Drosophila melanogaster: one gene and its partner. The protein of the gene in region 1 binds, or shares a complex with, the protein of each later gene. Each region holds a gene or a part of one and is shown on either strand. Other genes may lie near its edges.

Region 1 (3,119 bases):
TATATTTAATTTGTCTTCAAATTTCAGTTAAATATTTCTATAATAATTTAGAGTCACTGACACTGGCGGCATTTCCCGCTTTTCCGCTTATCTCAGTGGGAGAGTTTTCAGTTTGCTCTCGCCGAACAACCGAATGACCTCTAAGCTACTTTTAAAGGTCAGACCCAAAGTGAGGCGTCCAGCGAAGCCGCAGTACGTGGAAAAGTTGCGAAAAACGGAAGTATCTCCCTACAGCGATACAACAAATGCCTGTCAATTGAAATTATTAGATTTGTGCAATTAAATCGATTGGAAATATACGTAAACGAGACACTTGAAAATTTGCACAGCACCATTTGTTAGATAATCGCGCGGATATCGCTCGCAAAAAACGCTCGATTTTCAAGCCCTTTCGATTGGGGTGATCTTTGTGAAGTTCGCAGATAAAACAATTAAATATTTTCCCTAAGCTGGATGCACAAGCACACACCAAGAGTCTAGCAATATACATACCAAGTACTTTTGCGGATCTGCACAAATTTAAATCCAGATGAGAGCTGGCTGACTGCTGATTTGCTTCTGAAACGCGGCGCAACGTTTGCCGATTTATTCTGGGGAATTCTGGGGAGAGGCCAGCGCAGACGCAGAAACTTCATGCTAGTGGTGGAAGTCCTCAAGAAAACTGAAGCGGTCCAAGACATGGCTTGAATGTGTAAAAGACGGCGGCGAAAGTGCTACCAATTTGTATCTTGATAAAGGAGTAAAAAATATCATTTAAAATATATATTTTAGTTACCTTACATGAAACTATAGCTCTGTTGCAAGCTATATGATAAATTTAATATTCATAAATTTTAAAAGCTCAGCTTAGGCGATGTATTTTTGCCCATCTCTAAGTGTGGAAAAGAGAGGGACACTTACATTTACTCTCCTTTTATATGTATGCGTTTCCAGGTGCTCGCCGGTTTTCAGTGTGGGGGTGCGCTTTCCCTTTTTTGTTGTTTTCCCTGGTACGTTTCCTATATTTTTTGGGGAAAATTGACCTTCGCACAAGGTTAGAGTAATCGGGATCCACACGTAGCTGTGGATTGCATGTCTATCTACATAATAATAAATGCTCTCGTTAATAAAGCATAAACAATCAAATGGCGTCAAGAGAAGTGTAACAACCAATGATAATGAAATGTTCCCGTGGTTTCTGGACAATCGGGTCATTCAAAGTCACATACTTGTGGTTAGTCACGCTTTTTAGCTGCCATAAATTAGAACAAATAAATGCAAAGCGGATTTTAACAAATCGTACGATTATGCTTATAGCAGCACAGCTGATCGGGAAAAAATTGCATATGTGTTGGTTAACATTGCCGCCCACACGCTGTTAGCTCTTTAAAACTTTCTTTGCATTTTTAAGATCATTCAGTAATATAGAACAATTACAATTTGACTAAATATAATTTTTCTGTTACTTTTTTAAGTTCATCTTAATAATTAAAATCGTAAGCATTTTGAAAATAATAAAATAAGAAGGGGCAAAAATAATTTGAATATTTATGTTCTTTACAACTACTGTTAAATTTAACTTTAAGACCAGGGCTGACAATGGCAGTGTTGGAAAGTCCTCGACTTGACCATATGTTTTGAAAGACACACGCGGATTTTTTGTTTGGAGTTTTCAAATCGTAAAAGCAACATTAAAATGAGCGCGACCAGCACAATAGTTATGCCCGGTGAGCGAATTGCGGCCATTGAGGAGCTGGCCAAGAGCAAGCGGGTGATACTCGGACCGGGACTGCGGCGTCTGGATGACACGGTGGTGGCTAGCAAGGCGGGCCCACTTCGACACAAGGAACCCGGCACCTTCTGGGTGGACAACTACCAGAGAAGGTACATCCCGGCACGCGGGGATCTCATTCTGGGCATTGTGCGAGCCAAGGCGGGCGATCTGTACCGCGTGGACATCGGAGCAACGGACACAGCCTCCATATCGTATCTCGCCTTTGAGGCGGCCAGCAAGAAGAATCGCCCGGATCTGATCCCCGGTGATCTGATTTACGCGAGAGTCCTGAATGCAAGCGCGGACATTGAACCGGAGCTGGTCTGCGTCAACTCGGTGGGCAAAAGTGGCAAACTGGGCGTCCTCACCGATGGATTCTTCTTCAAGTGCAGCCTGAATCTGGGAAGGATGCTGCTGCGGGAAAACTGCCCTGTTCTCGCCGCTCTTACCCGGGAACTGCCCTACGAGATCGCTGTGGGAGTCAACGGCAGGATATGGTTGAAGGCCCATTCCCTGAAAGAAACCGTGGCCCTCGCCAATGCCATTTCAGCGCTGGAGCAATCGGGATGTGCGGAAATCGACAAAATATGTGGCAATCTCGGAGACTTCCTGCAGGCCTAGGATTAGTTCTTAGTTTACTTACTTTTATATAAAAAGAAATGGTTAGCCAAACTGATGGGGTTGAATTTTGATGTGAATGTTGGCGCAAAGGCAGTGTGTTGGAAGCCCTGATTCGTTTACGTAAAAAAACTATCAGAGATGAGCAGATGGAAGCGTTTTTCGTATCTTGGATTATGCTCTACATGTTCTCTCAAGAAAGATAGTACTACCCTTACCTAGCTACCAAAAGGTATTTAAATAATATAGCATCATTCAAAAACCAAGTATAAGGGTTTTATGTCAGATAAGGTGACTACTTTCCGCAGTCACTGCGTCACCTCTGGTGCCCACCAACAGCTGATCGATCAGACCCGCTCGCAGTGATTTCTGTGTGGCCAAGAACAGGTTTCAGTGCCTTCCGTTGCGGCAGAGGACAAAGGTTTCTCCGACCCAGCCGTGCCATACAGAGCCAACGAGATGAGCTTCCTGGAGTTTCTGCTGCTCCTGCTCGTGCTGTACTATGTCGTGTACGTGCTCCTCTGGATCCTGCTCGACTGCAATGTGGCCCTGTGGTACAAGTCCCGTTTCGGAGTCTCGCTGTCGTCGATGCGCGGACAGGTGGTTTGGATAACTGGTGCCTCGAGCGGAATTGGCCGCGCTTTGGCGCTCAGCTTGGCCAGGCATGGAGTGAAATTGGTGCTAAGTGCCCGGCGACTGGAGCAATTGGAGCAAGTGCAAGAGGAATGCCTAGCTGCAGCTCGCGGAC
Region 2 (6,100 bases), on another chromosome or scaffold:
GATTACGGATAAGCATAAAAAAGGAGTGGAGCGACGACTTCTGGTGGTCTATGCTGTTGTGGAGCACTGCATGGACATCGAGGGCGACAAAATGTTCAAAACTCTGTAGTTTCAGCTCAAGATTGGGGCTAATGGCCAGCACTAGAGCTTTAGGAACTCACTTTCCACATCCTACTTAAGCTAAAGTTAGATAGAGAAATTATCGTATTATTTTAGTCCATGTTTTACTTCTGTATTTCTTCCAAATATTTAAATGCCCGAAACAGGTTTTTTCCTATTTTAAATTAAGTTCTTTTGTCCTTTCTTGTATTGGTTTGAATGCTAGAAAAGTTTTCGAAAAATTGAGATGCCATCCAATTAGGAATTAAATCATACAAAATTCGTTGTGACGAAATAAGTTTGAAATTTAAACCTATTACCATGACATTTCCCACGTCCCAATTATTATTTGGTTTTCCCATATTTTTTCAATGACCATCTCTTAAAACTGTTCTTAAATATTGAACTACAAACCGATCCATAACAACATATCCGATAGTCTAGTTTAATGAATAGTTACGGTTGTTATTTAATAGGTAATATTTTAGAAAATTGCAAAGCTCAGAAAAAATAGTTTTGTAACTTGAAAAGAATTTATAAACAATCAAAAATAAACACTTGTTTATTTCTTCATCAGTTTCATCAATCAGTTTTCGTGTTGCTCGCATTCTTACTATTGAATTCACATATATACCAGTTATGTATATTTTACAGACTTCGTCACGATTGCAGTTCATTTTTTGCCCTCTTTTCTTACATTACTAAATGTAAAAAGCTTGTTGAACTGCTTGTTGTTCCGATTGTTGGGACGGTTCTAAAAAAAAAAACAAGCGTTATAAATGTTTAGTGAAGAGATCGTTTCAGTAAAAGCTAAGCCAGCTTGTTAATACTTTTCATAGCACTCACCTTGCCGCGAATTTGCTGCTTGATTTCTGTGCCCCGGGCTCTTTGCGCTCCTCCCTTGAATTGCCGGAAGTCCACGTTCTTGTAGTCAAAGTTGCCTGTACCCTTGTGCTGCGGAACCTGCTGACTGGAGCTCTGCGGGTGGTTTCCTCGATTCTTGGCCTTGAATCCGCGCTGGAACTGATTTTTCTTTTGCTTGCGGTTGTTCTGTGCCGGTGATGGTTTCGGTGGCTCTGTGGCTTGCCTTTCGATAGGAACCTCAACGACCTCATCATCGCTTTCGCCTAAAGCCTGCTGAACTTTTTCGACTGGTTCGATCTTTACCGGCGGTTTGGTTTGTGAATTCTCGTCCTTGCGAGGTCGCTTGCTAGCAGTCGGCTGCTGTTCCGGATCTGTTTTCACGTTCGCTTGTGGGTGCTTGCGCTTCAGTTGTTCCTTCAGCGGGACGGAGTACATGTCATCATCCTCCTTTCCGATGGCGTGTGCCTCCAGCTTAATGTTTTGCTCCACAGTTGGGGCTGCTGGACACAATTGCCTCTTTTGCAACTCACTTCGCTCCCTGGCCAACTGATCGGCCTTCAGCTGCACCATCAGAGGTAGGATGGCGAGATAGCGTTTGTAGGGCATACGCATTGTCTGGCTCTCCTTGCGAAGATGGGCCCAGCGCTGTTCCTCTTCTTGTGTCGGCTTGGACTGCTTTTCGAACAGAGCCATGGCTGGTGCCGCTAAGGTTGGATCTACTTTGGCAACCTCCTCCTTATTGGGCACCTCCAGTTTTCCTGTAGTTGAATTACGTTTCAACAGCGTTGGCAGGTCGTCGCGAATCTCCTCCAGTTGCGAAAAATCGTGCGGACAGTAGAGCTTGCTGCTAAAGTCTTTGGTCGACGGAGGCAACGCTGCCTGTGTACTACTGTGGGCTTCCAGGATCGGCTAAAATCGTAAGTAAAGTCAAGAACATTAAACATTAGATATACCACCCCAACACTTGGTAACATTAAACCTATTTTAGTTGACCTGCGGTTGTGAAATGAATTGAACTATAAGGTGAATTCAGAACATGTTCTTCATTTCAATGTTAGTTACAGTTAATTGGTAATGAAAAATTATCGGTATAGGCGCCAACGTTGATCGAGTTGCAAGCGCTGCTTGAAACCGCCAAGAAACTCACTTTGACCAGCGGCTGATCGCGCGCCTTGAGGACAATCTGGTGAAGCGTGTGCAGCTGTTGGCGCACCAGCGGCGGAATGGGATTGCAGCAGGCGAGGATTCCCTGCATCTCCCTTGGAAGACTCTCAGCGATTTGCAGCATCATGTGATTGGGCAGCACATAGCCGTAACTCTCGTCCTCTGACCGCGCCGTCGCATCGCGCCACTCGAAGATTCCGCGAAGTGCGTACAGTTGCCGGTTGTCGAAAGAGCGCTTCGTTTTTCTTACTAAATCCAAATGGGATTCTGGTCCGATGTGAGGCTTATTATAACGCTTCTTGCAGACATCCGTGCTCTGTTGATAGACACTGCCCAGCAGACCTGGTTCGGCATGCTGCTGCAGCAGATCGTTTGTCATCCGTCCGTAAACGTATATCAAAAAGTGGGTATCCTGACGAGCGTAGTCCACCAGCTGCTGGGGAAGCGGTCTCATCCGCCAATCGGCCAGTTGCAGGCTCTTGTCCACATCCAAGTCCAGATAGTGCTTAAGCAAATATGCCAACGATAACCTTGCCATATTCAAGGCTTTGGCAGCCCGATGCGTGTCGAACATGTTGACGATATACAACGATAAGTCCCGCTGAAGCCACTCAATATCCAAATCGGCGCCGTGCAGTATCTTCAGCTTCTTGGGATCGGTGAGTACCAAATTTAGTATATGCATATCATCGCGTAGGATCAGGGTATCAAAAATATAGTCTTTGCTGCGAGTAGACATCTGGACCAGGCAAGTGATGCCCATGAAGGTGCGATACGAGTGGTGCTCCACATCTATGGCGATCTGGGGCGCTTGTCTCAGTTCCTCCAATGCCTGCTTCAGTTTTTCCACCGTGTCAACCACCATTAGTTCGGTTTCTGCCATCAGAGCTGGAAGCACTGGCTTTTGTTTTTGGAACTGCTCCTCCGGAGGCTGAAACTTAAGCAGCTCAAACTCGTAGGGATGCAAATAGGATTGGACATTGCCGGCATCATCGTATTCGGGCAGCAGGGCCAGCGGTTTAAGAGAATTAGGTTTCTCCTTGAGTCTTGGAACAAACGGATTCTGGGCACTGTTATCCACCGGCTCCCTAAATTGCGTCTGCGGCCGAACGATGTTCTTGGCGGTGAAGAGACGAGCCGAAACCATGCTGCGTTGGGGTGTTCCTGTCGTTCTGTTCCAGCTGCCTGCCTTTGGAGTCCCTTGGGTTTGTGGGGAAGCTACTGCGGGCTCTATGGATGTGGAGCTGCTCATCACGTCCACCTGGGCCTCTACGACCTGTTGTGTATTTCTTCGCAGACCACCTTTAATGTCTAGATTAGTCGTAATGCGCTCGAACAGTACGTCGTTGCACTCCTGCACCATCTCAAACTGCTCTTCCGGTTGGCGTCTGTTTAAAGAATAAAGATCTATTGTTATTTACAGATACAGGTACCAACTTTGATTTCAATGGCTGTGCTGTATTTTCAACATTTCGAATAATGTCATGGTTAGAAGCTTACTTTTTGATGTCGCCCTTGATGTCCTTGGAGTGCAGCACGTTCCCGATGAGCGCCACCACCCGTTGGGTCAGGTCTTCCATAACACGTGCGTAGCCTGGATAGCTTAGGTAAAGGGCGCGGGCTGTTCCTTGTGGGAAAGCATTAGCGGCTTTTGTGGCGGCGATTGCATTCTTGAACCCTTTCTGGAATGTCAGAGCAGAACACGTAGGGATTGGATTGAAATATACTTATGTACGCTGGCTGAATTGCTACCCACGTTTGTGAATGCCTCAACATCTTCTGAAGCGGATTTCTTTGGCGGCTGGTCTGCTTGGGCCGATTCCTCTTTGGCCTCCTGGTGAACTCTTTTCGGGGTTCGCGGCATGTCTGTATAGTGTTTCCTTGTCGAATGTCTTGTGTTATTTTCGTACAAATTTTTTGTCGTTTTACAGATTGTGGAAAATGTGCGTGTTTTCTCTTCTTCTTTTTTGAGAATAACAACAGCTTGAATTTGGAGTTTGTCAACACTACCGGCGGCGAAATTTGATCACTATATAGCACTAAAACGGTGCTGACCGCAATCGAATTAAATCGATATGAAGGTGTATTTTACAAATGTTAGCCAAATTTGGAATGGTGATATTTCGTTATGTTAAACCGTAAACAGAACCTGCTTTGATGAACAATACTTTACAAATTCTTTTTAAAAGCAAAATGTTATTATTATATTGAACTAAATATATATTCCTTTCAATATAAATTAAACTGAATAAATATTTTCTTTGTTAAATATTTGGTCTTTTCTTTTATTTTTTCAAGAGGGCGCTAAATTGTTCAAGTGAAACCCTGAACAAAATTTTCAGCCAGCTGATTGCCAGTGTGTACACCCCTCCGGCGCCGGCGAAAAGCGAGGAGCTTGACCGAGAAGCATCAACTCCATCCAGAAGAAGTGGAGTTACGTGCTAAAAAAAAAGTAATTATAAAGCCTAAGTTTAGTCCAATTAGGAGGTAAAACACGCACAAGATGCTGGACCTATACAGACGCACGGTGGCGCGGTTTCCTCTGGGCAGTGTCAGCTATATGTTCGCCTACGGATCCGGCGTCAAACAGCAGGAAGGCTATGGAAAAGTCGGCAATGGAAACAACCTGCGTCCTCCGCCGGGAACCGTTGTGGATCTGGTCTTTTGCGTTCGTGATGCTAGGGGCTTCCATGCGGAGAACCTGCACCGTCATCCGGACCACTATTCCGCCCTTAGGCACCTGGGACCGAACTTTGTGGCCAAGTATCAGGAGCGTTTGGGTGCGGGTGTCTATTGCAACACGTTGGTGCCTCTGCCAGATGTGGGCATTACCATAAAGTACGGCGTGGTGTCGCAGGAGGAGCTGCTGGAGGATCTGCTTGACTGGCGGCATCTTTACTTGGCAGGAAGGCTGCACAAACCAGTGACGAATCTGGTCAATCCTTCTGATAATCCTCCCCTCAAGGCTGCGCTGGAGAGGAATCTTGTATCCGCGCTGCAAGTGGCTCTGCTACTTTTACCAGAGAAGTTCACTGCCTACGGACTTTTCCACACCATCGCCGGACTGAGTTACAAGGGCGATTTCCGTATGATTTTCGGGGAAAACAAACAGAAAGTGCACAACATAGTTAGTCCGCAAATCAATGACTTCTTCGCCCTATACCAACCCTCCCTGGGACAACTTTCCGACTATGTGGCGGTAAACATGAAGGGCCAGGAACCAGGGAGCCGGAAACCAGCCATAATCTTCGAGCAGGACAAATCCTCATCGGCTACATGCCAACACCTGCGACAGTTGCCCCGAGAGCTTCAGAAGCGATTGCAGCGAAATGCCGCCTGTCGTGGCGACTACACCCAGGTGGTGAATCACCTATCCATGGCCTCCCAGCTTCCGGAGGTGCTGCAGGCATCCGTCAACGACATTGTGTGGCGCAGCAGTGTCACGCAATCGATCAAAAATATTCCCAGTGCTGGCATTCTCAAGTCATTGGCGTATAGCTATCGCAAGGCTCAAAAGACATTCGCTGTTTAGGTTTATTTTTCGGGTTAATCCCCTGGCTGCCAATCATTCTACCGACTAAGTTGTCCCATCCAGCTGCATTTTGTTAAATACTTTTAAGCTTTAAAGTTGTTAACTGCAATATAATGTTTAGCCCAATCCAAAGACCTGAGTTTTCTTGGGGATTCTCTCTTTTCACATCCAATGGACCTCTTTATAACCTCAGGAATATCTTGGTTTACTTATTATTTCATTAATTGTATTTGCAGATCATGTCCAGCGACGACAATAGTAGTGATAGCAATTCGTCCAGCGATGAAAGGCAAAGGAAACGGAAGCTTAAGAAGCACAGCAAAGATGTGGACAAGTCCAAAAAGAAGAAGTCGAAAAAGCACAAGAAAGAAAAGCGTCGCCACAAGGAGAAGAAACGCAGCAAGCATGAGGAGGAGCCACCTGTGCCTTACACGCAACCTC

Evidence for each region.
Region 2: Rrp40 (region 1) and Rrp6 share a complex: the UniProt entries of both Drosophila melanogaster proteins name them as parts of the RNA exosome complex.

What each region holds. Positions count from the first base shown.
Region 1 is NT_033779.5:1,727,154-1,730,272, forward strand, and holds Rrp40 (ribosomal RNA processing 40), read left to right. Parts: upstream 1-1,578; 5' UTR 1,579-1,675; coding exon 1,676-2,374; 3' UTR 2,375-2,609; downstream 2,610-3,119. Other genes in the region: Eno (enolase), read right to left, coding at 493-680; CG31937 (uncharacterized protein), read left to right, coding at 2,831-3,119. UniProt on the Drosophila melanogaster protein: Non-catalytic component of the RNA exosome complex which has 3'->5' exoribonuclease activity and participates in a multitude of cellular RNA processing and degradation events.
Region 2 is NT_033777.3:14,881,952-14,888,051, forward strand, and holds Rrp6 (Rrp6), read right to left. Parts: upstream 4,296-6,100; 5' UTR 3,992-4,295; coding exon 3,884-3,991; intron 3,810-3,883; coding exon 3,628-3,809; intron 3,516-3,627; coding exon 2,111-3,515; intron 1,873-2,110; coding exon 946-1,872; intron 854-945; coding exon 773-853; 3' UTR 547-772; downstream 1-546. Other genes in the region: CG3631 (uncharacterized protein), read left to right, coding at 1-109; CG33331 (uncharacterized protein), read left to right, coding at 4,631-5,659; CG33332 (uncharacterized protein), read left to right, coding at 5,899-6,100. UniProt on the Drosophila melanogaster protein: Catalytic component of the RNA exosome complex which has 3'->5' exoribonuclease activity and participates in a multitude of cellular RNA processing and degradation events.